5 linked regions of the Cricetulus griseus genome follow. The protein of the gene in region 1 purifies or fractionates together with the protein of each later gene. This does not show direct contact. Links are inferred from orthologs where the notes say so. Each region holds a gene or a part of one and is shown on either strand. Other genes may lie near its edges.

Evidence for each region.
Region 2: the proteins of Usp4 (region 1) and Ctnnb1 purify together in Homo sapiens (affinity purification with western blotting; 3 studies listed by BioGRID). This does not show direct contact. The link is inferred for Cricetulus griseus from reciprocal best matches to the Homo sapiens genes USP4 and CTNNB1.
Region 3: the proteins of Usp4 (region 1) and Prpf3 purify together in Homo sapiens (co-immunoprecipitation; 4 studies listed by BioGRID and IntAct, with this or other methods). This does not show direct contact. The link is inferred for Cricetulus griseus from reciprocal best matches to the Homo sapiens genes USP4 and PRPF3.
Region 4: the proteins of Usp4 (region 1) and Dcp1b purify together in Homo sapiens (co-immunoprecipitation; 3 studies listed by BioGRID and IntAct, with this or other methods). This does not show direct contact. The link is inferred for Cricetulus griseus from reciprocal best matches to the Homo sapiens genes USP4 and DCP1B.
Region 5: the proteins of Usp4 (region 1) and Rbbp8 purify together in Homo sapiens (affinity purification with western blotting; 3 studies listed by BioGRID, with this or other methods). This does not show direct contact. The link is inferred for Cricetulus griseus from reciprocal best matches to the Homo sapiens genes USP4 and RBBP8.

The regions. Positions count from the first base shown.
Region 1 is NC_048597.1:216,540,182-216,545,689, forward strand, and holds part of Usp4 (ubiquitin carboxyl-terminal hydrolase 4), read left to right. Parts: intron 1-1,141; coding exon 1,142-1,315; intron 1,316-4,001; coding exon 4,002-4,160; intron 4,161-5,371; coding exon 5,372-5,508.
Region 2 is NC_048597.1:228,007,423-228,012,930, reverse strand, and holds part of Ctnnb1 (catenin beta-1), read right to left. Parts: intron 4,013-5,508; 5' UTR 3,959-4,012; coding exon 3,946-3,958; intron 3,600-3,945; coding exon 3,372-3,599; intron 3,212-3,371; coding exon 2,958-3,211; intron 2,841-2,957; coding exon 2,602-2,840; intron 2,512-2,601; coding exon 2,310-2,511; intron 1,221-2,309; coding exon 1,076-1,220; intron 1-1,075. UniProt on the Homo sapiens protein: Key downstream component of the canonical Wnt signaling pathway.
Region 3 is NW_023276806.1:60,657,250-60,662,757, forward strand, and holds part of Prpf3 (U4/U6 small nuclear ribonucleoprotein Prp3), read left to right. Parts: intron 1-1,172; exon of another isoform or gene 1,173-1,268; intron 1,269-1,907; coding exon 1,908-2,054; intron 2,055-3,593; coding exon 3,594-3,677; intron 3,678-3,846; coding exon 3,847-4,067; intron 4,068-5,508. UniProt on the Homo sapiens protein: Plays a role in pre-mRNA splicing as component of the U4/U6-U5 tri-snRNP complex that is involved in spliceosome assembly, and as component of the precatalytic spliceosome (spliceosome B complex).
Region 4 is NC_048601.1:25,696,588-25,702,558, reverse strand, and holds the start of Dcp1b (mRNA-decapping enzyme 1B), read left to right. Parts: upstream 1-2,152; 5' UTR 2,153-2,180; coding exon 2,181-2,330; intron 2,331-2,452; exon of another isoform or gene 2,453-2,668; intron 2,669-5,971. UniProt on the Homo sapiens protein: May play a role in the degradation of mRNAs, both in normal mRNA turnover and in nonsense-mediated mRNA decay. May remove the 7-methyl guanine cap structure from mRNA molecules, yielding a 5'-phosphorylated mRNA fragment and 7m-GDP.
Region 5 is NC_048595.1:224,693,783-224,699,899, forward strand, and holds the start of Rbbp8 (DNA endonuclease RBBP8), read right to left. Parts: upstream 3,903-6,117; 5' UTR 3,763-3,902; intron 1-3,762. UniProt on the Homo sapiens protein: Endonuclease that cooperates with the MRE11-RAD50-NBN (MRN) complex in DNA-end resection, the first step of double-strand break (DSB) repair through the homologous recombination (HR) pathway.

The sequences.
Region 1 (5,508 bases):
TAGTTGGTTGATGTTCTTATTTTGAGACATGGATTTTTATTTTCTTTCAAAAGAAAAAGGAGAAAAGGACTAGGGTTATAACCTAGTGATAGAGGTCTTGCCTAGCATCTCAGTACTGGGTTCAATCTCTAGCACCGGTACCACAGAAACAACAAACCCCAGTGTTAGTTAGCACAGTAATTTATGAGTGTAATCCCAGCACTTAGGGAGATCTCAAAAACAAACCCCAGTGTTAGCATAGTAGTTTGTGAGTGTAATCCCAGCACTCAGGGAGATCTCAAGTTTGAGGGAGATCTTATTTGAAAATTTATCTTTATTGATTAATCAAGTATTTATTGGGTATGTAATAAAATTGTGATATATGTGGGTGGCCAGGAATTAAGAGTCCAACAGCAAAACCAGGAGATCATGCCAGGCAGCACTTGGGAGGCAGAGGCAGGTGGATCTCTGTGAGTTTGAGACCATCCTGTTCTACAAGAGCTAGTTCCAGGACAGCCTCCAAAGCCACAGAGAAACCCTGTCTGGAAAAACCAAGAAAAATAAACAACAACAACAATAAAAACCCTAGGAGATCATGTTCTCTAAGAATGCCCTCAGTTGCCAGGCAGTAGTGGTGTAGACCAGACCTTTAATCCTAGTACTCGGGAGGCAGAGGCAGGTGGAGTTTGAGGCCAGCCTGATCTACAGAGTGAGTTCCAGGACAGCCAAGACTACACAGAAAAACCCTGTCTCCAAAAAAAAAAAAAAAAAAAAAGATTGCCCTTAGCTTTGAGGCCAATTGCAAGTTCAGGGTTTCCTAAGAGCACTCTCAATTTTTATAATTTGCTAGAAGGACTTAGGAATTTACTTAAAGCTATCATAGTTTATTCATGATAATAGTTTATGATGAGGAAAGGATAGAGATTAAAGTTAGCCAAGGGAAGAAGCAAATAGAATGTCCAGGAGGGTTCCAAATGCAGAATTCTGGTATGGCTCTGTATATATGCAAACCCAGCACTTAGAAGGCTGTGGCAAGGATTGTCCAGAGTTTGAGATCAGCCTGGTCTAAGAGTGTGTCAGACAAAAGAACTTGGTCTGTGTTTCTGTCTTTCTGTTTGTGCTGTGTGGAAGGGTTATGAGCTCTGATTTTGTTCTGTTTCAGTGCCTGAGCAACACTGCCCCCCTGACTGAGTACTTCCTCAAAGATGAGTATGAAGCCGAGATCAACCGAGACAACCCTCTGGGGATGAAAGGGGAGATTGCAGAGGCCTATGCAGAGCTCATCAAACAGATGTGGTCTGGAAGGGACACTCATGTGGCACCTCGAATGTTCAAAGTAGGTTGAGATACATTACTTTTTTTCCTCAAAAGAAAAGATTGTTTTTACATTGTGTATGCATGAGCACACTCTCATACATGTGTGCACACATGTTTGTACCATAGCACAAGGGTAGAGTTTAGAGGACAACTTGTAGAATTGTTTCTCTCTACCACAGATTCTGAGGATCAGCCTCAGATGGCCAGGCTTGATGGCAAGCATCTTTATCTGCTGACCTGGCTTGTTAGATTCCCTTCCCTTCCCTTCCTTTTTTTTTTTTTTTTTTTTTTTTTTTTTTTTTTTTCCTTTTTGTCTTTTGGAGACAGGGTTTCTCTGTGTAACAGCCCTAGCTGTCCTAGAACTCAACTTGTAGATCAGGTTGGCCATGATTGAACTTACAGAAATCTACCTGCCTTTGTTTTCCCGAGTTCTGGGATTAAAGTTGTACACCACCACCGCCTGATTCCCTGTCCCTTTTTTGTTCATTTGTTTTTGTTTTTTTGTTTTTTCGAGACGGAGTTTCTTTGTGTAGCCTTGACTGTCCTAGAATTTGCTCTGCAGGCCAGGCTGGCCTCACATTTACACAGATCATCATACATTAAAAAAAAAAAAAAAAAAAAAAGCTGGGCAATGGTGGCACACCCCTTTAATCCCAGCACTTGACAGGCAGAGGCAGGCAGATCTTTGAGTAGAGGCTAGCCTGGTCTACAGAGTGAGTTCCAGGACAGCCTGGGCTATACAGAGAAACCCTGTCTCAGAAATAAAACAAACAAAAAGGTAGAATCTAAGACTCAAAAGTTCATGTTATCAGACCCTTCTTTTCTGTCATTCAGAGCTGTGGTATTTGTTTTATTTTGTTGGTTTTGAATTTTTCTGTTTTTTGAGACAGGGTCTCACTGAGATGTTCTCAAACTCATAATCCAGTTGCCTTGAAAGATGTGTACCACTGGGCCTGTCTGACTCAGTACTGTGGGGTTGTTTGTTTGTTTGTTTGAGACAGGGTTTCTCTGAGTAACAACTCTGGCTCTCCTGGAACTCTTTGTAGATCAGGTGGTCTTGAACTCAGAGATCTGCCTGCCTCTGTGTATCTTTGGAGCCTTTCCTGGAACTTGCTCTGTAGACCAGACTGGCCTCAAACTCACAGAGATCCGCCTGCCTCTGCCTCCCGTCCACCACTGCGCAGCAGAAAAGCAATTCTTACTCATATTTTTTTCTCTCAATGAGGGAGTCTCAAGTGGTTGGTTAATGAAGACTCTTTCTTCTCTCTCTCTCTCTCTCTCTCTCTCTCTCTCTCTCTCTCTCTCTCAGCTTTATTTTATGTATCTGCATGCTCAGTCTGCATGTACACCTTTATGCCAGAAGAGGCCATCAGATCCCACTAGAGACGTTTCTTAGCCACTGTGTGGGTGCTGGGGATTGAACTCAGGACCTCTGGAAGAGCAGTAGTATTGTGCCATCTCTCCAGTCCCAAATACTCTCTTTCATCTTCTTGGTCACATTAATCCTTGAGAAATACAAGTAAATTACTGTTTCTATACTAAATCATAAAAAAAAAAATACTAGAATTGGATGGGTGCACACTGGGTTCATTCCTATGTGAATAATTTATAAATAGCATTTTGGGCTATTCCTCACTTGACTGATGGACATAGTTAATATCTGCAATGTCTGGTAGTAGCCATTAGCCCACGTGCTGCTGAGCATTTCTAATGTGGTTAGTATGACCAAGAGTCAGAATTTGGGGGGCTGAAGAGATGGCTTAGCAGGTAAGAGAACTGGCTACTCTTTTAGAGGATCCAGATTTGATTCCTAGCACCTACCATTGGTAACTCCAGTTCCAAAGCCGTCTTCTGGCCTCCATGGGTACCACATAGGCACACAGCACACACACACACACACACACACACACACAAAAAAAAAAAAAAAAAATCCATAAACATAAAGTAATAATTTTCAAAAAGAATCTCAATTTTAAGTTGTATTTAAGTTTTTCACTGGTGCTAGCAATTTAACCCAGGCTTTTGTGCAAGCTAAGCGAGTACAGTTGAGCTATACCCTAGCTCCTCTTTATTTTCAACTTCCTTGTATTTGAATAACCTCTGAATTAGTGGCTAAAGTGTTAGACAACACATACAAAGCAGAGCTTGTCGAATTTTAGGCTGTATCACGGTCTCTGGGAAGGCTTATTCAGGAGATTATGGGCCCATCCCTGGAGTTTGTGATTGAGCCTCAGTAGAGTTTGTTTTTGATAAGTGCTAGGTGCTGCTGCTTCTGCTGACTGGGACCACGTGCAGGGTTGCTGGAACGATCAGCACTGACAGAGCTGGGGATGTGAGGGCCGTTCTGTGTGTGACTCCTTTGTTTGATGCAGAATCATTTCTAAAGTTTTATAATTTAATCCTGAACCACAGAAGGACATTGGAGTGGAGCATCAGACTTGGAAATGTCAACAGAGAGTGCCTTCTCTACCCCTGTCAGAACAATGGCCTCATGTCAGGCCTGCTTTCTGATCTGAGCTGTCTTTCTGGGCCCATTGGCCTCAGGATGGCTCTTGGGGCGTTAGTTGGATGTTCACTCAGGTGAGGTTTCATACATTCCGGTGGACTGTAGAGCAGTCGTCATGTCCGCTGCCCTCTGACTTGTTTACTTTTTCTTCTTCACTGATTCTTTATTATACCTCCTGACATAGTTGCTTCTGTTGTAGACCCAAGTGGGACGTTTCGCCCCTCAGTTTTCTGGCTACCAACAACAAGATTCTCAGGAGCTGTTAGCCTTTATTCTAGACGGATTGCACGAAGACCTGAACCGAGTGAAGAAGAAGCCCTACCTGGAGCCAAAGGATGCCAGCGGGCGACCAGATGCGGTATGATATTGAAGCTGTCTACACAGTGTCCCAAAGAGACTTCCTTCTATTGGCAGCATGGGAACAGTCTTCCGGTGTTGGGTTAGTGCGAGGGCCCTGGTGCCTCTCGGTATTACTCATGACAGGGATGCATTCCTAGTCAGAAAGGAGCTAACTGTAGTCGCCTTTTCCTTTCTTTCCCAGTGCTCCAGGGCCTTTGGAATACTAGGCAGGCACTCTACCACTGGGCTACATTCCCAGCCCTAACATACTTCCTTCTGGGTTTCTTCAAGTTAGCTAGTTTGTTTAGTATTGCATTGGCAAGCCAGTAACTTCAAGAGTTGTAAAAACTTGAAAGTGTTGGCAGTATGCTCTTAGCATTGTTACTGCTCTTTGCAACTCAGCTGGGATATTTGTTTGTGGTACCGATGATAAAACCTCCAACCTCACTCCTATTGGGCAAGTGCTGGATCGCATTAGGTGGCCTGGACTGGCGTATTGTAGCCAAGTATGGCCTGGAAAGTTTGAGTCTTTTGTCTCCAGTGTACTAAACTAGCCTCTTCTCTCCGTGATTATTAAAATAATCTCATTAAGACTAAATTTAGGGCCAGGCAGGTGGTGGTGCACGCCTTTAATCCAACATTCGGAGGCAGAGGCAGGCGAATTTCTGTGAGTTTGAGACCAGCCTGGTCTACAAGAACTAGTTCCAGGACAGCCTCCAAAGCCACAGAGAAACCCTGTCTCGAAAAACCAAAAAAAAAAAAAAAAAAAAAAGACTAAATTTAGAGCTGGGAGGTGGCCCATGTCTTTAATCCCAGGATTTGGGAGGCAGAGGCAGGTGGATCTCTGTGAGTTTGAGGTCTACAGAGGTAGTTCCAGGATAGGCCTCTAAAGCTACAGAGAAACGCTGTCTTGAAAAACAAAAACAAGAGATCTCTCCTAAGGTCCTTTAGATCATTAAAAACACAAAAGGTTTGGTCTATCCCCAGTTGGATCTGTCTGACTACAGTGTTCTCAGGGTTCCTATTCTGTATAGATTCTCTGTTGATGTCTCAGTAAGTATGGTTGTGGGTATAGAGCTGGTCTGTGGTGGGAGGGTGGTACACTAAAAGCTTTTGACAGTTCGTGGTCTACCTTCTGGTCCATCTCAGTGTTGTTATGCAGCATTCTGGATGCAGAGGAGAAGGACGGATGTTGAGAATTTCCTGCTTAATCCTTCTTCTTTTATCCAGGTGGTAGCAAAGGAAGCCTGGGAAAACCACAGGCTGAGGAATGATTCTGTGATTGTGGACACTTTCCATGGCCTTTTCAAGTCTACTTTGGTTTGCCCAGAATGTGCTAAAGTTTCTGTGACTTTTGACCCGTTTTG
Region 2 (5,508 bases), about 11 Mb from region 1:
GTTTCCCCCATACAACTATTAACTCAGAAAGTACATCCCGCAGGAGATGCTCATCAGAACAGCTGAGGAGTCTTTAGACACATACATTGTGACTCATGTCTCCCATCCCGTCATAAACTCAGGCAACTCTGAACTCTTAGACTGGCTTTCCCTGTCATTCTAATCCATCCTTCAGGCTGCCTGATCCTTTTGTCACTATGAATGTCACCTTATGTTATTAACAAATTAGCAAGATCCCAACAGCTCCACTTAACCCGCACCATGCCAACAATCTTACCCAAGGCCACTTCTCAGTGGTCTGCTCCACAGCAGGACTGTCTCCCAAGACCCAAGGACTTCAATTTGCTGTGTTCCTAAAGGTAGGCTGTTTTCCTTCGGTGGCTCCCACTATGTGGCTACTCTGGGGCTTGGCAAATGCAGACAGTAGCTCACTGCCTCACTTATCAACCCTGAGGACCTTTAGAATCTTACCTCACCTACCCTTCCAAAGGGAGCTAAGTGCTCTACACATGTAGAGTCCAAACAGCAGCAAAAACACACGAGTCACTCCAGGCCAAGGGCCCTGCCTAGCTTAACCTGGAACATTAACTCTACTGCTCACACTGCATGTTTGCCAACACTCTTCCTCCCTCTCAGACAGCCCACACAATACTCCTGTGAGCAATTGCCTCAGTGACCCCTCCAACCCTAAACTCTGAAGTGTCCAACAAGCAGAAAGATGGGGCGCTAACCCTGTGTTTCATCCTTAGCATGGTCTTCTGCACAAGGCCTTAGGCCTTCATCCTCCTCCTCCTCCTCTCAGAGCTGAGGCTGATGCTCTCAGGCACTTATTGGTAGGAAGCCAGAGAGCTGTGAACGACTTTCTTGGACTCAAACAAGAGGCTCAGTACAGACCATCTATGTCTTTTCTCCTATCTCCACATGCACAGCATAAATTACTATAAATTACCATATATAAGTTGTCCCATTAAAAATACTGGGGGGAAAACCAGGGCATAGCAAGGATCATTTAAAAACTTCAGTCATCCAGGGACAAGCAAATGCACCCTGTGAGCACAGACTCGGGAGTACTTACCAGCTTCCACAATGGCTGGCTTGTTGCTGGAGCAGACAGATAGCACCTTCAGCACTCTGCTTGTGGTCCACAGAAGCTTCTCATAAGTATAGGTCCTCATTATATTTACTAAGGCCTGGGGTCCACCACTGGCCAGGATGATCAGCTAGGAAGACGTACAACTAGTGTCATACAACTCCAGAAATGCTGGAGAGGAACCCATCAGCAAGTTACTGTGTCACATCAAAGTGTATCTCTGGACCTCTCTGACGCAAGGTCTCAAACTGGGGGGTCCTAGGTATGTGACTTCTATACTACAGTATTCTGCTCAAGTCCAGGCATGCCAACACTTTCAAGAATACATCAACTTGGGCTGGAGAGATGGCTCAGTAGTTAAGAGCACTACTTGTGCACTACTTACTAACCCGGACTCAATCAATTCCCAGCATCCCCAACTGTCTCTTAAGTCCAGTTCCAGTGTATCGGACATACCACCCCCGACCAAGACACACATGCAGGCAAAACATCAATGCACGTAAACTAATAAGAAATAAACCATTAGAGGAAAAAAAAAAAAAAAAAAAAAACACCAACTCTGGCCATCTCCCCAAATGGAACATAAAGAAAAAGAATATGAAAAGCAACCATGTTTGCCTGTAGTAGTGAAAGTTGTCAGAACTGCCAGTTGAAAATGGGCACTAAGAGCCCATAGCCTCTGCCCTTGACCTTCTGAAAACACTGCAGAAAACATTTCCACAAGCAGATCTATTTCATACCTATGCTCAAAGTTACATCACCTGGTCTTTGGTATGCCCTACAAGCCTCACAAGGTCTACCCAGACTATGTGTTTACAGCCTTACCCCAAAACTTTCTCAAGCACTATACTCTGAAAGCCCCACCCACACCACCCTCCTTCCCCTTCAGGGCTTCCCTACATGCCTTCCTCTCTCTCACCTGCCTCCACCTACTATAAACACCTCACTGCCTCTCAAGCATCTCCACAAGGCCCTCAGAACAATGTTTCTTCTGTGTACTGAACCCCTTCCTTCTAGTCAGATTGGCAATTATCTCAAGGGTAAAGACTCTGGAGGCCTTTTCGTGTCCACTCAGTGCGATGCACAGCACGGTGCACACAGACACTCAATGTTGAGAGGACAGAGTGCAGCTCCTCTAGGGTGCACACAAAGGGCAGGTCAGTGAGTCTGGAGCCTGTGGAGCCTCTGTGCCCCATGCTAACAGCTTTCATGACTTTACCTTGCTCTCTTGATTGCCATAAGCTAAGATCTGCAGGCAGTCTGTTGTAATAGCCAAGAATTTCACGTTTGTTTTGTTGAGCAAAGCAACCATTTTTTGCAGTCCACCGGCTAGGCGCACCGCCATTTTAGCTCCTTCCTGATGTAGCAGGAGGTTGTGCAGCGTCGTGATGGCATAGAACAGAACAGAATCCACTGGTGACCTGAGAAGAAAGAAAAGAACCTTTGTCAAGCCAATACTGGCACCCTTCTTCTTCCCACCTTTCTGGTTATGTGACCGACCACTTTCTTACCCAAGCATTTTCACCAGAGCAGGAATGCCTCCAGATTTAAAGATGGCCAGCAAGCCCTCACGGTGGTGAGAAAGGTTGTGTAAGGTCCCAGCAGTACAACGAGCTGTTTCTACATCATTTGTGTTCTGCATGGTGCGTACAATAGCAGACACCATCTGAGGAGAGCGCATGATGGCATGTCTGGAAGCTTCCTTTTTGGAAAGCTGATGAACCATAACAGCAGCTTTATTAACTACCACCTAGAGTACAGGGGGTGAAGAAGCACCATTAGTTTCCAAATACTGACATCGAACAGCCATCGTCACCCTCTCAGTTTCCCTCAAAGTAAACGGGAAGCAAGCTGTGTAACTGCTTACCTGGTCCTCATCATTTAGCAGTTTTGTCAGCTCGGGAATTGCACGTGTGGCAAGTTCCGCGTCATCCTGATAGTTAATCAAATTAACAACGGCATGCTTCAGCATCTGGGATGGCTCAGCCAGGCGCTGGACGTTGGTGGGATGAGCCGCGTCAAACTGTGTGGACGGGATCTGCATACCCTCATCTAGGGTCTCAGGGAACATGGCAGCTCGCACCCTCTGAGCCCGAGTCATGGCGTACTGTCCGTCAATATCTGGGAAAGGAAAATCCATGTGAGACTTCACTGTCCTAAGTGCTAAGTAACAATGCACCCGACTTTCCTCTGCTTTTCACTTGTGCCTGTGTGTCTCTGCCACCACACACCCTTGCTAAGAAACCCAACTCTAGCTTTTAAACACACAAATGCTTTTTACCCGCCACTTGCTCTTGAGTGAAGGACTGGGAAAAACCTTGCTCCCACTCATACAGGACTTGGGAGGTGTCCACATCTTCTTCCTCAGGGTTGCCCTTGCCACTCAGAGAAGGAGCTGTGGTGGTGGCACCAGAATGGATTCCAGAATCCAAGTATGACTGCTGCTGCCAGTGACTAACAGCAGCTTTTCTGTCCGGCTCCATGGCCATGTCCAACTCCATTAGATCAGCTGTAAAAACAAAACAATTTAGTGCACTGAAAATGATACCTGAATAAAATATCCATGACAATGACCCATTGAAATACATTTAGAAACGTATTTCAGCAACCAAGGAGATCAGAATGATAGCCAGTGTGTGCTCCATGGTAGAACAGGGGCAACCCAGTGGCATTCAAGTTCCAGAATCACTCAAGCTAGACTCCCACGGGTAGCTTGCTGATTATTTCACCAAGCTGGTAGTAGTAAGCAGAACAGCAACAGGTAGGCTGGCAAACCAAAGCCGGCAGGGGCAAGAGAGCAGCAGGGACTCTAAGGCAGCATACAGAAGCCACAAGCAGCTCCCCGGGGCACAGACCTTGAGTAGCCATCGTCCACGCACGAGTGTGGTGTCACAGCTGCTGTACACTAAGCTTCAGATAATCCTGAAAAGAAAAATCAATTCATTAAAATTTAAGCAGATGCCTGCCACATGTGTTATATGTCCCACCAACACAAACCAAAAGCATGAGATACACTGAAAACACAGACCCTGAAACACAGCTCCACCATCACTGACCTTCTGAGTGAAGGCCATGTCTCAGCAGACACACAGGTGCTGAGAGAGAACAACTCCTTTGCTCTCCCATGAAAGCCAGCAAAAGGAACAATATTCAAATTTCAACTGCTCTGTGAATTCCTGAAGGCTAAAGACACTCAGACTGGGCTGGCCATGGAGACAGTGGAGTTTTTAAAAAACACCAAATTTTTATAAAACAAATCAGTTGTTTTTGCTGATATAACACTGATCAGAATGGCGATTTAAGAAGCAAAATTACTTGTCAAGTCAAAGTCTGAAGCACAAATAGAAATACATTTATCAAAAGATTTGTATGAGTTCAAGCAGTGATGTACACACCATGGCAACTGGTGCAGTTGCCCCTAGGATCAACAACAGAATGTAACATTTCTCACAGGTAAATTTTAGTCTAAGTAATGTCTGCATTTTAGTTTTACTGTACAATATTGAAGAAAAATATCAAATCACTAAGAACCAGATGGAAGCTTGGGGTTCGTGGTCTCTAGGTACTGTATGAACAGATTTCCATTATTAATGTGTGTCCCAAGCAGGGTCATCTTGCACTACAGCTAACACAAGGTGTCCTTACAAATTAACACTGCGTGCATAAAGGACCTTTAGGTATGACTGCATCTTCAGTTCATGCAAAGGTGATTCTGAATGTTTGAACAGAAACCTCACACTAATGACCATTTTTTCTCTAAGCAGAGGGAGGCACATTGACTCCTTCCCTTTGTTTTCTGAGAAACTGTTACTCTGAAACCCACACTAGCATTCCCTCTGCCTTGTCCTCCTGATTTCATCACTCCTCCCAGATTAAGGCAAGTAAACTCAAGCTGGGCCCTTGCTTTAGGCTCCACATACAGACTGACACTTGAGGGGGACCTCTCCCTCAAGAATCTTGTGCCTTGCTGGACGGTGTCCTGGAACTCTGTGAGTTCCAGGACACCCAGGACTACACAGAAAGACCCTGTCTCGAAAAACCAAAAGGGAGAAAAAAAAAAAAGAAAGAAAGAAAAAAGAATCTTGTATCCTAAAATGAGGGCACAGCCATATGGTAAGGCACGGCTTTCGATCTCAATCAACAAAGATGTCCGTCCACAGCGTGTGGAGAGACCAGAGTGGCCCACTGTGCACACATTACCTAGTGCTGCCATGCCAGCCCTCAGGTAGGTGCAGCTCTTCCTCATCTGGCCAATACAAACAGGCCTGGGGACCGTTTCCCCCTTATGGTGCACAGCCCAAACACTTAATCTCTTCCTGGGTAAATCCTGCTGATCTGGAGCGTGATTTATTAGTAATTTTACGGGGTGGGGTGGGGATTCATGTTTCAAAACTCACAGTATCTGCACATGTTAGGAG
Region 3 (5,508 bases), on another chromosome or scaffold:
ACATTTGTTGTATGTGGTTACTGGCTCCATGAGTGGGATGTGTGAAAGAGTTAGAAATACTCCCTTTTCTGCTAAGTACTTATTTTGTGGTTACAGTATAGTCATGGTCTTTTTATATATGATCTTATCTCAGTTCCCCAATGTAGCCCATTTCTCTGTCTGACTTTCTTTTGCCTCTTTTGGGTTTTTGGTTGGTTTGTTCTGAGATAGGGTCTTACTATATAGCTAGCTCTGCCTGTCTTGGACTGTGATTCTCTGAGTGCTAGGGTTACAAGTGTGTACCACCATGATCAGCTTGTTTTTGTCTTTAATATGTTTTCTTTTGTTTATGGATTTTTTTAAAGATTCATTTAAAATTTTTATTTATGTATGTGTATACACACAGATGACCATAAAGGTCAGAAGAGGGTGTCAAATCCCTTGGGGCTTGAATTACAGGTAGTTTTGAGCAACCATATATATACGTGCTAGGAACCACACTAGTCCTTGGAAGAGCCATACTCACTCTTAACCTCTTAATTATCCCTCCAGCCCTTGTTTTGGGTTTTTGAGACAAGATCTTGCCACCAAGCCCAGGCTGCCCTCAAACTCAGGTTCTGACCCAGCCTCCTGAGTGCTAAGATTCTAAGCACGCACCATCATACTCACTCTAAAGTGCTTTAGATACCTCGGTATCAATTGCTGGTCCTGAGACACAAAAAGATAAGTAGTGACTGCCTGGGGCTTGGGGCCACATTATAGGTTCAAGACTCTATATAGAAACTCCTTTCCCTTTGGTTTTTACAGCATAGGGTGATTAGAGAAATCAGATATGGTCCTTACCTGAAATTAGTCTGCAATTTAAAAGTGAGGAGTTGCAGTAAATCAGCCACAGATTATAAAACCTGAGTAACAGTTAGAACTGATTATAGAATTTCAGACTTGTGTTAACCTTAAGAGGTATGATTAGTTCACAAACAGATCACCACACTGAAGATTATGTTATGATAGTACTATGCCACTGTAAGTGCCAAGCTCACGCTCTGAATGCATTGACAACATTGGGTGGGATAGTAGAAATGGTTTCTTGAGGGAGAATCTAGATAGCATGGGATATGGGTCCCATTTTTGGTCCATTCAAGTCCCCACTCCACACAATATATTATGGGAGAGTCCTTTTTCTTGAACTGTAGGAGTTCCAGGAAGCGCTCGCCCCTGGCTGAGGATATGTCCTTGCAAAACACGAGCCCTCCTAGTGAAGAGGGGATGTCACCCAAAGCCTACCACCGGTGTGTACATTTGCTTTTTCCCATTGTCCCTCCAGTTGGCCACTCTTGGTCCTATTAAATTCATTTTGCAAATTAGTCAACATATTTGAGTTCCCATTGTATGATAAGAAGGAAATGTTATTGGGGAATACTAAAAAAGAAAAAGCCTCTTTTCTGAAAGAACTTAGATTTTAATTGGGAGAAAGTATTACCTAACACTTGGCAAACAGTGTCAGCAATATAATGTAATCTAATATGAACCAAGCTGTAAGTGCTTAAGAGGATGTGGAAGAACAGTTGATCAGAGTGGGATGAGATGATAATGAGCAAAACTTCCTGGAGGAGGTGAGTTTTAGACAGGATTTATGGGAAAGGATTTAGAGGAAGATCACTTCAATGTAGGCAGTAGCATTGGCAAAGATCTTGAGATGGGAACATTATAAAAACATGGGGATGAAATTTGCTTGAATGGGGTAGGAAATTGGTGAAGTTGGGTGAAATGGTCCACTTGGTGGAGAGTCTAGAAGACCCTTTGAAAGCTGTATGAAAGATTGTGTCATATTCCCCTGGGAAAACACAGGATACTTGTAGGGTCGGGATGGTTCTTCCCTTTTTCCCTAGGGAGGGATACGATTCTTCTTTCATCTTGGGTTCCCTTAGGAGGTGTTCGGTGATGACTCTGAAATCTCAAAGGAATCATCAGGGGTAAAGAAGCGGCGAATACCCCGTTTTGAGGAAGTAGAAGAGGAGCCAGAGGTGATCCCTGGGCCTCCATCAGAAAGCCCTGGCATGCTAACAAAGCTCCAGGTTAGTTAAAAGAAGCAAAGTGATGTTGTGAGTTGAAACAAAAAACATTGGTCCATGTTCACTGTGATCTTCATTTGAATTAGTGTTAACCATTTGGGGAAGTTTTTCCTGCTTTATATTCTAGCAGTCCTTGGTTTGATCAGAAATAGTCCAACTAAGGATTATTGAAATTGTATGTATTGAATACCTAGTGTGTACATCATTGTTTACCCAGTTGTCTACTTTATCATCAGGGAAATTAAATGAAATGATAGCACTAGACTTGACTATGTCCTAAGAGTCAAGGACTCTTTCTGAACTTCATTAGGAAACAACAAGGGGTTTATAGAAACAACTCTAAAGAGGCTGGCACCATTTCTCCATGGTTACCTACAGTAGAAATTGATCTGCTGATAGCATGATTATTTTTTGAGACAAGGCTTACTATTTAGCCTGGCTGGCCTGTGATTCCCTGTGTGTAGAACAGACTGGGCTCATACAGTGATCTGCCTGCCTCTGCCTCCCATGTACCGAGATAAAGGTGTGTACCAACGTTCCTGGCTGGTAAACATGTTTTTTTTAAAAATAATGCATATTTCATTTTATGTCTACATGCTTAAGTATGTGTATGTACACCATGTGCATGTAGGAACCTGTGGAAATTAGAAGTGTCAGATCCCCTAGAACTAGTTAGGAGATGGTCATGAGCCACTGAGTGGGTGCTAGGAACTGAACTCACGTCCTCTGCAAGAACAGTTGGTGTTTTAGCTCTTAACCATCTCTCCAACCCTGCCCCCACTTGTGTAGTAATTTGGTAGGAAGTGTGCATACATTACTTTCCCCCCTTTTAGATTCTTGGGAGGTTAAGATATTCATAACCTTATCCAATGTAATACAGGCAGGAAGTGGCACAGTTCGAAACTCACTACCTGAGTTTCAGTCACCATAATGGTGTATACTACCTAATATACCAGTCCAACCTTGGGGGGAAAGATTGAAAAATTGTAGTGCTTAATTTTTTTAAATTATTTCTTTAAAAGATTTATGTATTATATATACAGTATTCTGCCTGCATGTATGCCTGCAAGCCAGAAGAGGACACCAAATCTCATTATAGATGGTTGTGAGCCACCATGTAGTTGCTGGGAATTGAACTCAGGAGCTTCAGAAGAGCAGCCAGTGCTCTTTACTGCTGAGCCGTCGCTCCAGCTCACTTAATCTTATAGGCTTATCTTTGCTAAATTTTCTTTTTTTCCTCCCAAGACGGGGGTTTCTGTGTAACAGCTCTGGCTGTCCTGTAACTCGCTTGGTAGACCAGACTGGCCTCAGAGTCACCTGCCTCTGCCTCACATGTGCTAGGATTAAAGGCGTGAACCAGCATTGCCTTACTCTTTACTGAATTTTCTTCTCTAAGGTGCAGGGGTGTGTGTGGGGGGGGTGGGGGGTGAGTGGGTGTGTGTAACATTCACAAACTTTTAGGTCTCTAGAACTGAATGCATTTTCATTGGGAACATTTATGGGAGAAATTGATCTTTTCCAATTTTTCCCTCTGGAGAACAGATCAAACAGATGATGGAGGCAGCAACACGACAAATTGAGGAAAGGAAGAAACAACTGAGTTTCATTAGCCCCCCTACACCTCAGGTATTGTGTTCAGATTATTCTGAAAGAATATTTAGCACAAGATTTGTTGTCATTCGTTCACATGAGAATCCAGAAAGTGCCACAATTACCTACCATAGTCTATCAAGGTGTGTATATATTTGTATGCCTATTTCAAACCCTTGGATTTCTTTTAATCTTTATCTTATAGCCAAAGACACCTTCTTCTTCCCAACCAGAGCGACTTCCAATTGGCAACACTATTCAGCCCTCCCAGGCCGCTACTTTTATGAATGATGCTATTGAGAAGGCAAGGAAAGCAGCTGAACTACAAGCCCGAATTCAAGCCCAGCTGGCTTTGAAGCCAGGGCTTATTGGCAATGCCAACATGGTGGGCCTGGCTAATCTCCATGCCATGGGTATAGCTCCACCGTGAGTATCTTTCACAGAATCCCTTATCACTTCTGAAGTTTTAGGAGTAGTAAATTAAACGAAATTTACTTGAATGCTACTGATTTTTACCCCCAAAGAACATTAAGTAATTTCTTATCATTTCATGTTTTTGATATATGGTCTAAATACCAGTTACATTTATTTTTGGCTTTGTTGATGGGTTTGTTGTCTGTTTATAATTGGTAGACTAAAATAATATTTTTCAGCTAATATTGAAGGTAAGAGTAGAATCAGGTTTCTGGATTTATCACTCAAGAACTTGAGCCATTAAACAATATTGAGTAAGACCATATGTTAGAACAGATGAGATGTAGTGGCACATACCTGCAGTTCCATTGCTCAGGAAGGAGAGCCAAGAAGAATGAGGCAAGTATGAATTCTAGCCAAGTCTACATAACAAGTTCTAGGCTAACCAGGACTACACAGCAAGACCCTGTCTCTGTTTAAGACTGATTCAAGAATTTAGGTGTAGATGTAAGAGGTGTATCCCAGTAGTAGAACATTTGGCTAGCACACAGGAGTCTGTGGATTCTTAATCCACAGTACCACCACTATCACCACGAAAAAAGGTAGGGGTTGGGGCTGGAGAGATGGCTCAGTGGTTAAAAGCACTGGCTGCTCTTTCAGAGGTCACAGGTTCAATTCCCAGCACCCAATGGCAGCTCAGAGTTGTCTGTAATTCCAGCTCCAGGGGGTCTCTGACCCTCTCTCACAGACATAACATGTAGGAAAAGCACCATGTACATAAAATATCAAAAGCGGGGCAGGCAGAAAGGTGGCTTAGTAATTCACTTGCTTCAGCTGTTCCAGAGGGTCAGGGTTTGGTTCCCAGCACGCACAGGTTGGCTTTAACAGCATCTGTAAGTCCAGTCCAGAGAACCTGAAAATTTAAGAAAACAATTTAGGAATAAAATAAGATTAGATAACAGATTTTTCTCAGCATTATTTTAGAATTGATTTCATTTTATTATGCCCTGTATCCAGATACTCAGTTTGATATATTTTTGTGGACTTTTTCCCTCACTGCTGGGGTTAGAGCCCAAGACCTGAATGTGATAGGCAAGTGCTCTAATAGTGAGATATAATCCCAGCTAGTTTGTGTTTTAGCTAACAAAAACTTGACTAATTTACTTTGGTTTTGTTATTGTTTTGAGATTCATTTATTTTACATGTATGAACGTTTTGCCTGCATGTATATCTGTGTAGTACATGAGTACCTAGTGTCCTCAGAGGTCAGAAGAGGGCATTGGATTCACTGGAACTCAAGTTACAGACTGTTGTGAGCCCAAGAGAATGCTGGAAAACAAAACACAGCCCCACTGCTAGAGCAGCAAGTACTCTGAACTGCTGAGCAATCTCTCTAGCCCCCATCTTGATGTTGTAAATCCAGATTTTACTAAGCATTAATGGGGTTGCCTTC
Region 4 (5,971 bases), on another chromosome or scaffold:
AGTCTTAGATTAGCATTGGCTATGTAAGACCATCTCAAAACAAAAACCCACAAAATAAAACAAGCATAAAGCTATTAAATATAGATATGATTCATGAGAAATAGCTGTCTTCTCATAACAAAGTGAGAAAATAGTATACATTTAAAAAGCATCTTTCATGTATGGCTTAGTAGACAATGAGATTATTTTTGGCTCTACCTACAATCTCCTGCCATTATTATCTCCTGTCACATCTGTGAACAAGCCCTGGCCTCAGAGACAATGTAAGTGTACAAGGGATACCTCTTTAATGCCCTTTTCAGGTAGCTATGAATATTCTTTGGTGATTGACTTAGTTTGGATTTCTATTGCCATGAAGAGACACCATGATCACCACAACTCTTATAAAGAAAAATATTTAATTGTGGTGGCTCTCTTATATTGTCATCATGGCAGGAAGCATCAAGGCACAATGCAGGCAGACATGGTGCTGGAGCTGAGAGTCCTTATTTACATTTTGATCCAAAGACAACAAGAAGTGGACTGAGATACTGGGCAGTAACTTGAGCATATATGAGACCTCAAAGCCTGCCTCCACAATGACACACTTCCTCCAACAAGGCCACACCTACTCAACAAAGCCACACTTTCTAATAGTGCCACTTCCTTTGGTGGCCATTTTCTTTCAAACCACCACAACAATATATCAAAAATTAACAAATTTCAGTTTCATAAAGGTTAGTTATCTGGAATCCTATCTATCAACTTTTCATATTTTGTGGCAATTGAAGTCTGTTGGTTCACCTTGTCCTTGAATGGATCTCTTACCAATACATGATTTTGTGATACCATTTTATTATCTGAAAAACATTGAGTCACTGAGAGATATCTTTCAAATGTCGACAGTTTCCATTAGACATTAATGTTTTTAAAGTGCACTCATCAATATCACCACTGATCTCATCAGAAAAGATTTAAGTATTGAGACACTGTAAAGATCTTGGCCAATTTCTTAAAAATTAATCTCAAAAATTATCATTGGCAACAATAAGTATCCCTTGTTCTTGGAAGTGACAGGAAAATCTGTTTTTGAAAAAGTCTGTCCAGAGCCAGGTGGCACATTGCTTTTAATCCCAGCATTTGGGAGGCAGAAGCAGGGCAGATCTCTGAGTTTGAGGCCAGCTCCGTCTGCAGATTGAGTTCCAGGACAGCCAGGGCTACTCAGAGAAACCTTGTCTTGAAAAAATAAAATAAATAATTTTTAAAAAGAAAAAGCCTGTCTATCTGAATAACCATAATGAGCCCATCTTCTTTCGTGCTAAACTAATGTTCTGTGGAAGTAAAAACAAAACCCTTGGTCTGGGTGGTGGCACACCGGTAATTCTAGTTACTGGAGACCCCAAGGCAGGAGTGGGGGTAGATGGAAGCCCTCCATGACTACATAGCTAGACTCTGCCTCAAGAAACAAGGCCCCAAATCAACAAAAACCAACAATAAAACCACAAATCCAGCCCAAGTCAAGCACAGAACATTTTTCCTAGAGTCAAATACGGCGTGCAACAGCTCTGCTTTATCCATACTTTCTATTTTTCCCACATTGTTTTAAAAAGTATATCCAGGGTTGAATTTTAACAAAATTGGGAATTTTATCGAGTGACACCTGGCTTCAGCTTCTTGTCATTTTCCAGTGAATGCACAGCAGCAAAAATACCCTGACCAGTGGTACAGTTTGGGGCCTGCCTTGGGTCAGTATCAGTGCACCGGCCCTCAGTGTGCACACAACACACGTGTCTCAGCATTGTCGTCGACGGTCTTAACATTGCAGCCTTCACGGATTTTGGGGTGCACCCTTTAAGAATCTCCAGAATTGTTCCTTTTTGGCGTTATTATATTTGATTGGGTTTGGCATCGGAAAGCCAAAGAAGAGCTATGCCAAGGGGTGGGCCACATCCAAGAAGGAAATACATGCACACGGCTTGGAGGCTCCTGAAGGAAGAAACAGCAGAAAAAAACCGGCTTCGGAAAGCAAGCCTGGGCTTCTCGTTGCCAGGGCGACGATCCTCCGCGAGAGGGCCCGGCCGTCGATTGGCGGAGCCTAGCCTGGGTCCCCAAGAGCCGGAAGGTCGCCCAGCTGCGGTCCCTCGCTCGGCGGTCGATTGAGGGGGCCTTCCTGGAAGCCGGGCAAGAGGGCGGGTGGGAAGATGGCGGCCGCGGCGGCCAGTGGGCTGCCGGGCAAGGGGCATGATATCAGCCTGGCTGCCCTGCGGCGCCACGACCCCTACATCAGTCGCATCGTGGACGTGGCCAGCCAGGTGGCTCTGTACACTTTCTTCCATCGGGCCAACAAGTGGGTGCGTGCGGACGGCGGGCCGGGGCGGGGGCGGGCGTGCTGGGCCGCTGGGGCGGGCGAGCGGGGGCGGGCGGGGACCCGATCCTGGAGGAGGGCGGGCTGCGCGACCCACCCCACCCGCAGGTGGGGAAGATGGATCGGAAGGTGTGGCCCGCGCCGCCGCGAGCCCCGCACAGGCCTCGAGGCCGGAAGACAAGCGCTCCGGCTGGGCTGCGGAGGGCAGAGCAGAGCCCCTCGCTTAGATGGGTGCAGGGAAACCCAGCCTCGCCGAGGGGGAGAAGCCAGAGTCCAACATTCCACCCAAGAGCGAGCTTGGGGGAATAAAGAGGAGAGAAGTGGGTATGTGTGGGACGTCCCAGACTTTGTGTAGGAGTCCAGGGTTCGTAGCCTAACCATTTCAGCGAATTTCACAAGACCGAACCCCAGCCTACAGTAACTGGATGAAGTTTAGTTTCCCTCACAACTAGAATGGAATTGGCACGGGAGACAAACTAGTTCTGGCCTAGGTATTGACTCACATCACTTATAAACCATACCTTTGGATATAAGCGTGGCAGTTCCCCCCTCCTTTGTGACTTTTGTACCAAATACCATTCACCTGTATAAACCATCGGTCTTCATACATACAGTTCAGTGGGGTATGAAGAACAGCTTGCAAGTATCCAAATGATTTCTTTCTTTCTTTCTTTCTTTCTTTCTTTCTTTCTTTCTTTCTTTCTTTCTTTCTTTGCTGTGTTCGCCAAGTCCGAAACAAACATCAAAATCTATGCAAGGAAAACTTTCATTATTTAGCAAATTCAGTAGGCTGTAGTAAAAACGACCCGGGAACCATGGACACAAAAAGAATAACGAAGGAAGTGGAGATGAAGCCTGAGTCAGGCTCCAGGTTCCATCCCCGGCACTCGTGAAAAAAAGACCAGGAATTATTAGGATAGTTGCAAAGAATTTATGTCTGTCCTCCTAGTAGCCAAACCCGAAGGGGAAATGTGCAGAGTTCTAATGTCCAGGGTTCTGCATAGTCCTGGCTCGATTAACGGAGGCTGTTTTTCATGGTCACCAGAGGAAATTACCATTTGGGTCTTTATGTGAAGGGAGTTCCTTCACGGAAACATGTGTGTTTACGTGAAGATAATCTACGTGTAGGTGCTTTACTTCTCTCCAGAGCATCCGTTCTCAACCTGCCCATTGCCACGCCCCTTTAATACAGTTCTTCATGTTGTGGTGACCACCCCCCACACACACAATAAAATTATTTTTGTTGCTACTTCATAACTATAATTTTGATACGGTTATGATCGTAGTGAAGATATTTTTGCAGATAGAGGTTTGTAGGGGGGTCGCAACCCTGCGATTGAGAACCACTGCTCTAGAGACCCATAATGTAGTTGGAAGTAATTCTGTAGTATTGAGTAGGACCCAATAAAAGTTAGTGGTGTAAGTTGACTCAGTGGGAGGCTCAGAAGCTGTTGAATGTACAGGGGAGCATCCCCCTTCGGTAGCAGGTTTCTAAAGCCTCTTCCCAGCCCTATGTGACAGAGACCTTACAGAAGCCTCACAGAGGTGTACCAGATACCCAGTGAAGCCCAGCAACCAATGCTACATAGAAGCTGTCACAATGCATTATTTACAGGAGTTTTGTTTTCCTGCTTTCTGGATTTGTTTTCTCCAGACAGGGCATAATTCATTCAGTAAAAGGTCATTCTTTCCAAGTACTAATCTTCCAGACTGTGGTCGCCTGGCAGAGGAGAGGGACCTAGTTCAACAACAGAGTAGTCAGTGGGGGCAATCAAATTGTCACTGCTGTCCCCCTGTGCTATCACTCAGATCTCCGGATGAGAGCCTTTCAGACATAAAGTTAATCAGAAGTATAAAGAATGGAAGAGAAAATATTTGCAAAAGGTTGGGTCTGAGTAGAGGAGTCCTTATTACATTGGAAATTAACATCAAGTATTCAGACACGGAATGACGGGTACAGAGGATGAGTCCCTGTAAAAAAGACCAAGGGATTGCAGATAGAGTGAAGTGGTAGAGCATTGCTTAGCAGGTATAACATGTGCACAGCTCCAGCCTAATTCCCAGGGCAGACACAAGTTCACAAAGGGATTAAGAAGAATTTTTCGGTGACTAGAATAGGAATTTTAGAACCACATCTACTCCTTTTTGCCAAGAAAGACTCCTTCCCCAAAATACCCTATGTACCAATGAAAGACTATTGCTGGTATTGTTTCTTACTTTGCACTCAGACCACTTGTTCTCAACTGGATTTGATTTCCTCCCACCCACTCCCCAGTGGCATTTGACAGTATCAGGAAACTTTGAGGATGAGGGAGTTGGTAACATCTGCAGAGTAGAAGCAGAGGTGTTGCCAAATGCCCTGCAGTGAGCAAGCATCGATATAGCTAGTCCAGAACATGAACGATGTGAGGCTGGAGGCGAGCCTGAGAACCACAGGTGTCCCTTATTTCTGGTTAACAGTCCTGAGTTCCCTGTGCATCAGAGTAACTGAGTTGAGAGGTGCAGTGGGTCAGACCAGAACTCTGGATGAGACAGCTGTGAAAGAGACAAAACTGCAAGGTGGCTTGACTACCTCATGTGTGATAGAGGCAGCTTCAAGTGGATCCACTTTTTATTATCTTAGAATATTCAGTGCAATTGCTTTCAATTGTTCAAGATGTATCAGTGTATTTACTTCTAATAACTTTTGAAACAGCATTATCTATACTCTTGATTATTTTGAGCCCCAAACTTGGGTGGGTGGTGGGTGGGTGGTGTGTGTGTTGTGTGTGTGTGTGTGTGTGTGTCCTTTATTTTCAGAATTTAGGCTAAAATACTCCAGAACTGAGATCTTACAAAGTTATTTCCACCACCTTACTTGGAGGATTTGAGGAGAACTAGTTAAAATCCCATTTTAACTATTGCCACACCCTAAATTCACTGATTGTACAGAAAAAAAAAAAAAAAAACTGACTGCCTTTGAAAATCAGTTTGAGCCAGCACAGCTCTACCACCAAAATACATTTCCAGAGCTCCTTTTAGCCAAGTAAGAGCTCTTAAATTTTTTTTCCCATTAAAAGATGTGATTGTGTAAGTTACCTTTTCGGTGGAGAAGGTGACACAGAACAGTAAATGAATTATCCTGGTGTGATCTGGCAGAAACCTCACTCTAGGCTCACATTGTAATTACTGAGTCATAAGTCCTTCCCATGAGCAACTCTAAACAAGACTCCAATTTGAGAATTGTTTTTGTGATTTATAGCTAATTCTGATTTTAGATTACTCTAAGGGACTAAATTTTTTTTTTTTTTTTTTTGGTTTTGAAGTAAAGAGAATTTTTTTGTTGCAAGCAAAAGGGAGATCAGTTGAAAGCAATTAGTTTATGTGTGCTGAAAATCTGAAAGGTCTGATTGCATTCCAAAGAGAACAGACCAATACTGCAGAGTAGGAAACTGCTTTGGTCTTATAGCCAAGGAGCCCGACAGTGTGTGCACATAGGTTTCTACACCGGTCTCAACTTCAGTTCCCTTCAGTGTAACTCAAAGTACCAAATACTGGACTTTCACAGTTTCCTTCTAAAGCCGATGTATATTGCCTAAACACTTGCCAGCTGTGTCAGTTCAGCTCTAAAGGGGGCCTGAGAATGTG
Region 5 (6,117 bases), on another chromosome or scaffold:
AGAGATGTGCACACTGTACTGAATCAGATACTAGAAAACATTCTCAAAGAGTCCTGATTGACAATCATTTGCCTGTACATGGGTTACAAAACCAGGCAGATGGTTGGCACACTACAGCATTGGAGGATCCATGTATATTTCTGAGAACAAGTCAGTAAGATACACATACAGCAAAGCTCTAAGAATACTCTATTTAGAGGGACAAAGCTATTAGGGTAAAGGTACTTTGTGACTCTTTCATAGTAACGACTAATGATTAACTTTACAACTTATGTAGCCCCTAAATAGAAGTAACAGACTATTAAGAAACTCAAGTGGTTTAATAAATATGTTAAACTGTGTTCTTACCTGAAACCATTAATTAGCTACCATTACAAAAGTAACCCATTGGGCATGGTGACTCATGCCTAAATCTCAGCACTGGGGAGGCTGAGGGAGGAAGACTGCTGCAAGTTCCAGGCCAACCAGGCTACACAAGACCTTCTCAACAAAAATGATGAGAGGAAGCAATGGAGAAAGGAGGGGAAGGAGGAGAGCAGGACACATATGAAGTCTGGAGCTGTGGCTCAGTTGAAAAAGTGTGTATCGAGCACTTACAAGGCTCTGGGTTCCATTCCCAGCACCCATAAATTGAGCCTAGTAGTGAATGCTTATAATCCTAGCACTCAGACAGAGACAGGAGGATCAGGAGTTCAAGGCCATCCTCTCCTCTCAGCTAGAGTTTGAGGCCAGCCTGAGACACATAGACTCTGTACTAAAACAACTTTCAGGAAAGAGAAATGGTTCAGTGCTTAAAGAACACGGGCTGCCTTTTCAGAGAACCTAAGTTCAAGTCCTAGCACCCACATAACAGCTTATAACCTTGTGCAACTCCAGTTCTAGGGAATCTGACACCCTGTTTTAGCCTCCATGGATACCAGGCATGCATGTGATACATACATGCAGGCAAAACACCCATACACGTAAAAATAAAAGTAAGTCTAAGAAACAAACTAAAACAAAACTTTCAAAGGAGCAATAATGCATTCAACCTGATAATACTGCATAATGAAGAAACCCATTACTTTGGCCAGATATAGTGGCTTACACCATTAAACCCAGCACTCAGGAGGCAGAGGCAGTCACATCTCTGAGTTCCAGGCCCGTCTGATCTAAGGGAGTTCCAGGACAGTCTGGGCAATACAGAGAAATGCTATTTTGAAAAACAAAACCAAACAAAACACACACACACACACACACACACACACACACACACACACACACACACATTAAAAAAGAAAAGAAAAGAAAAGAAAAGAAACCCATTACTTTGTATTCTAACCTAAAATTTAAAAGAAAAGACAAGACTGTGAGTTAAAGGACAGCCTGGTCTTACAGATTGAGTTCCAGGACAGCCAAACCCTGTCTCAGAACAAAAAAACAAAACAAAAACGGTTTGTAACCACTTGGTTACCTGTATAGTACTACTGAAATAATACACACATTGACTAAGTGTTACAAAAACTGCAGTTAGACTTTCTAAAAAGAATCACAAAAAGCTGAATACATATAGATTTCAAATAATCTTATTTTCTTAGGTGCACTGTTATTGTTAAATCTCTTGGATTCAATAGTGATGTGTTCATTTAATCTTTTTATGTATTTTTTCCGTTTTTATTATTTTTTTTATTTTATTAGTTCAAATTAGGAACAAGCTTGCTTGCTTCAGATGTCAATCCCTTCTCCCTCTCCCTCCCCTCCCCCGCAACATCCACCTGCCCCTAGCCATCCCCCCTCTACTCCCCAGGCAGGGTAAGGCCCTCAAAAGGGGCTCCCCAAAGTCTACCACATCATCCTGGGCCGGGCCTAGGCCCTCCCCCATGTGTCCAGGTCAAGAGAGCATCCCTTCATATGGGATGGGCTCTCAAAATCCCATCTTTTTTTTTTTAAGACCTTACATATTTAATACAGTGCCCTACCCCTGTACAAATGGAAAAAAATTAAGTTCAACATTTCTAGAACAATATGGCTGTTAATTTTTGTACAATGCCAACTGAATGCGGTAAAATGGGATACTTAATCTTTTTAAAAATTTTTATTTCTTATGGTGCTCAGAAAAGAATCCAGTGCTTCAGGCATGCTAGGGGAGAAGTCTACCATTGAGACACATTTCCAGCCCCATTTTTCTTTTTTCACTGAAAGACTCTATTTATTACAGGAATATTATGAGATAAACTAACGGTCTCTGGAACTGGCTTGAAAATGGGTGTGGGTGGAGAGATGAAAGAACAACAACTTATTTTGGCAATTATTGAAGCTAAGTGATGGATGTGTCCATGAAAGGATTAATAATGCTGATGTCTCTCCCTTGTGAACATTCGTTTCATATTAATTTTTAAAAGTGAGATGAAGGGTGTTAATATAATTTTGCTTCACAAGCCTGTGTTTAACTACTTAGCTATAAAAGATACATTATGGTCAATACGAGACTGCACTTAGTTATGTATAGTAACATATAGTTATACTTTTATTAACAATTTTGGTGAAATATCTACAAAGAGGTAAAATTGTTAACTCCAATACAGATAGGGCATGGCTATACACTATACTTCTCTATAGCAAAAAATAAAGCATGGCGGGGTGGTGGTGCTCACTTTAATCCCAGCACTCAGGAGGCAGAGGCAAGCAAATCTCTAAGTGCGAGGCCAGTCAGGTCTACAGAGCAAATTTTGAGAGCTACTCAGAGAAATCCTGTCTCAAGGGGGGAAGGAGGGAAACAGGGAGGAAGGAAAGGAAGGGGAGAGAGGGAGAGAGAGGGAGGAAGGGAGGGAGAAAAGGAGGAAGGAAGGGGGAGAGAAAGTTAAAAGTTTTATAACTTTAATGAAAAACTTAAAACTGACAGTTAAAATTAGTGTAACCTAAGTATCCTTTAGGAAACGCCCCAATGACGAGGCAGTTAAAACAATTCAGTGCTTTTGCTGTTTCCAAACAGGGTCAGGCTATTTAGCCTTGGTTCGCCTCGACGTACACCAGGCTGGCCTCGAACTCACAAAAACCTGCGGCCACCACGGCCGCTAAGCTGTTTTTTGTTTGCTTGCTTGCTTTTTAAACGGCCACACAAACCACCATCAATACCACCTTAGCAAATTTCGGCTCACAACATCCTTTCCGTGCCCCGTGCTCACCCAGCACTTCGGAGCCACTCTTTCTGCTCTGGACCGTTACTCCCTGGCACTGCGCCCTTCCCTCTCACAACACGCCTGTCTCCGGCTCGGCGGACACAAAGGACGCATCCTTCTGCGCGTGTCCTCGCCATCGCCAGCCTCCACCCTGGGGATGCTCGGCAGGGCTAGGCTGTCACACCACACACACCAGGGAAACAAACAAACGCCCAGGGCGCTCAGCGTGCCTCTCACGAGCGAAGCGCGCACTCGCCGCGGCTCTCTCGCCTTTCCTCACACGCCCCTCAGCCACCCCGCGCGCCCCACGTCCCACGCCAAGACGCTCGGGACCGAGGGCTTGCGAAAAGCGCGCGCGGCGCAGATGGCGCATGCGCGGGGCGGGCTCAGCGCTGAGGGGCTCGCCCTGGAGGCGCGCGGGAGCCCGAAAGACCGTGGAGCACGAGCCCGGCGCGCGTCCTCCGGCCGGCCCCGACCCAGCCTCCCTCGGCGGGTGCCGCACGCGCCTCGGCCGCCCGAGCCTTCCCTGGAGCGCAGCTCTGACCGGAAGTGGCCGCTCCGACCCTGCACGCCGGCTAGGGGGAAGGAAAGCCCGCGTACTCACAGCTTCCGAGCCTCCCTGGAGAGCCCAAGGCGGAGAGTGGATGTCCTCCGGGCCGGGAAGGCCCCGCCGCTCGCTACTACCCTCCGTGTCCTCCCCTCGCCAGGCGGCCGAACCCACGGCGGGGACGGCCAGAGCCTCCCGGAGGAAGGCCCGAGGGCGGCGGACCCGCCCGGCCTGGAGCCCTGCGGCGTCACGTGACGTCACGCGGGAGTTCCCGGCGCCACGCCCCTTCCCCCAGCAGCTGGGCGGCGGCTGAGCGGCGGAGTGGTGTGGATCAGGGTGCTCGGTGCTTCGGAGGTGAACTGTCCAGGGTCCCCAGAGGCATGACAAACTCCGGCAACGTTCGTGGAAGTCCCTGGAAAACTGTCCAGCCGACCTGTTGTGAACGTGACCGACCGCGAGCCCTTGACTGTGTCTGACTCCAGCACGTTTCCTGGCAGTCAGTGCTGACACGGGGAGTCAAGGTGGACGGTTGGGATGGATAGGCTCGCTCTTGGTTTTCAGCCTCAGTTGCCTACGGTTTAGTGATGGCATCCGAGGGGACTGGGTGGGAACGCCACATTTCAAAACGATGCTGCCAGAGTTAAATGATGAGTTTCTGGCAAGTGTGGAGTAAGAAATTACAAGTGTCTACAGTTGATTGTAAACAGGCTGTTGAAACTTTTTGTGTGTGTTTTTGTTGTTAAAAAAAAAATGTTGAGTGCCCCAAGCGGGCTTCGGACTCACCATGCATGTTCTTGAACTTCTCATTCTCCTGTTTCCTTCTTCTGAGTGCTGATATTATGCTATAATTTGGTATGTAGTAGCCACCACACCAGGTCAGTTTGTTTATTTATTTATTTTCGAGACAGGATTTCTCTGTATAGCTTTGGAGCCTGTCCTGGAACTCTGTAGATCAGGCTGGCCTCAAAATCACAGAGATCCGCCTGCCTCTGCCTCCCGAGTGCTGGGATTAAAGGCGTAAGCCACCAACACTCGGCTAAAGTCAGTTTATTTTTAGGCAGTGTTGGGCATCCAGCCCAGGGCTTTGTGAATGTTAGGTCAGCACTCTCATAGCTGCTGAGTCATCTCTCCAGCCCCCTGTCTCACTTAAGACTTGAAGAATGAAAAATGAATTATATTTTTCCTCCAGCAAACACTCTACCACAGTTACATATACCCAGTCCTATTATACTATTATTGGCACAACATACAGGTCCTAATTTTCAGTGAAACTTTTATAGTTTCTAACAGAAATACGAAGTATAGATGGTACACCCATAATCCCCAGCCCTTGGTAGACCGGGAGGCTGAAATAGGACAATTGCTGTGAGCCTAACAGCAGCCTAGACTACATAGCCAGACCTTGCCTTAACCAAGACCAAAACAAAGCACCTCTCTATATGTAACCCATTTATATAAATCAGAATCCATGAAAACATCTCATTTAAATGTCCTACTAAATCCTGTCAGTCATAACTATGAAATCATCTTCTAAATCCATCCCTTTACTTTCATCATTGACTCCATAAACTACCATAATCTCTCTCTCTCTCTCTCTCTCTCTCTCTCTCTCTCTCTCTCTCTCTCTCTCTCTCTCTGTTTTTCGAGACAGGGTTTCTCTGTGTAGCTTTGGAACCTATTCTGGCACTCACTCTGGAGACCAAGCTAGCCTCTAACTCAGAGATCCGCCTGCCTCTGCCTCCCGAGTGCTGGGATTAAAGGCGTGCACCACCAATGCCCGGCCTACCATAATCTCTTATTTTTGTTTGTTGTTGAGACAGATCACATGCAATTTAGGCTGTCCTCAGATTTGCTATGGCCTCGAACTCTGACAGTCCTACCTGTAATATCCAAATGAAACTCTAGCTCACCAAACTCCCAAAGGCAGTCCAAACACAGGAAGATTTCTGGCAGGTAAAAGCCAGCATTCCACAGGAACTTGTGAAGCTGGTTCCCCCCTACCAAAAGGAGTCATTTCCCTTACCTCTGGCAGAAGGGACATAGGGCAACCTGTGGCACCTATTAACATACCAAAGTTGATGCTGGCCTCCAGGCTCCCTCAGTGTCATAAGTAAGCTGGTACACATTCGAAGTCCATGAAGCATGTCAGCCCTTCTCACCTCCTCCCTTTCCATAAACTCTTTCTAGCTACTAATTCTCGGAATAGCCCTGCTTCTCTCCCTATGTTCCCTGCCTCTCTCCCTTCCTCTCCTGCTCACTCTGATCCTGCTCCTTTCACTATGTATTTTCTATTCCCTGCTCTCCTCACTGGAAGACGCCTATGGCCTTGTTTAGTTTGCTGGCTTTTCTCTCTCTCTCATATCTACAATAAAAAACCTCCCCCTTTAAGCCGGGCATTGGTGGCACACGCCT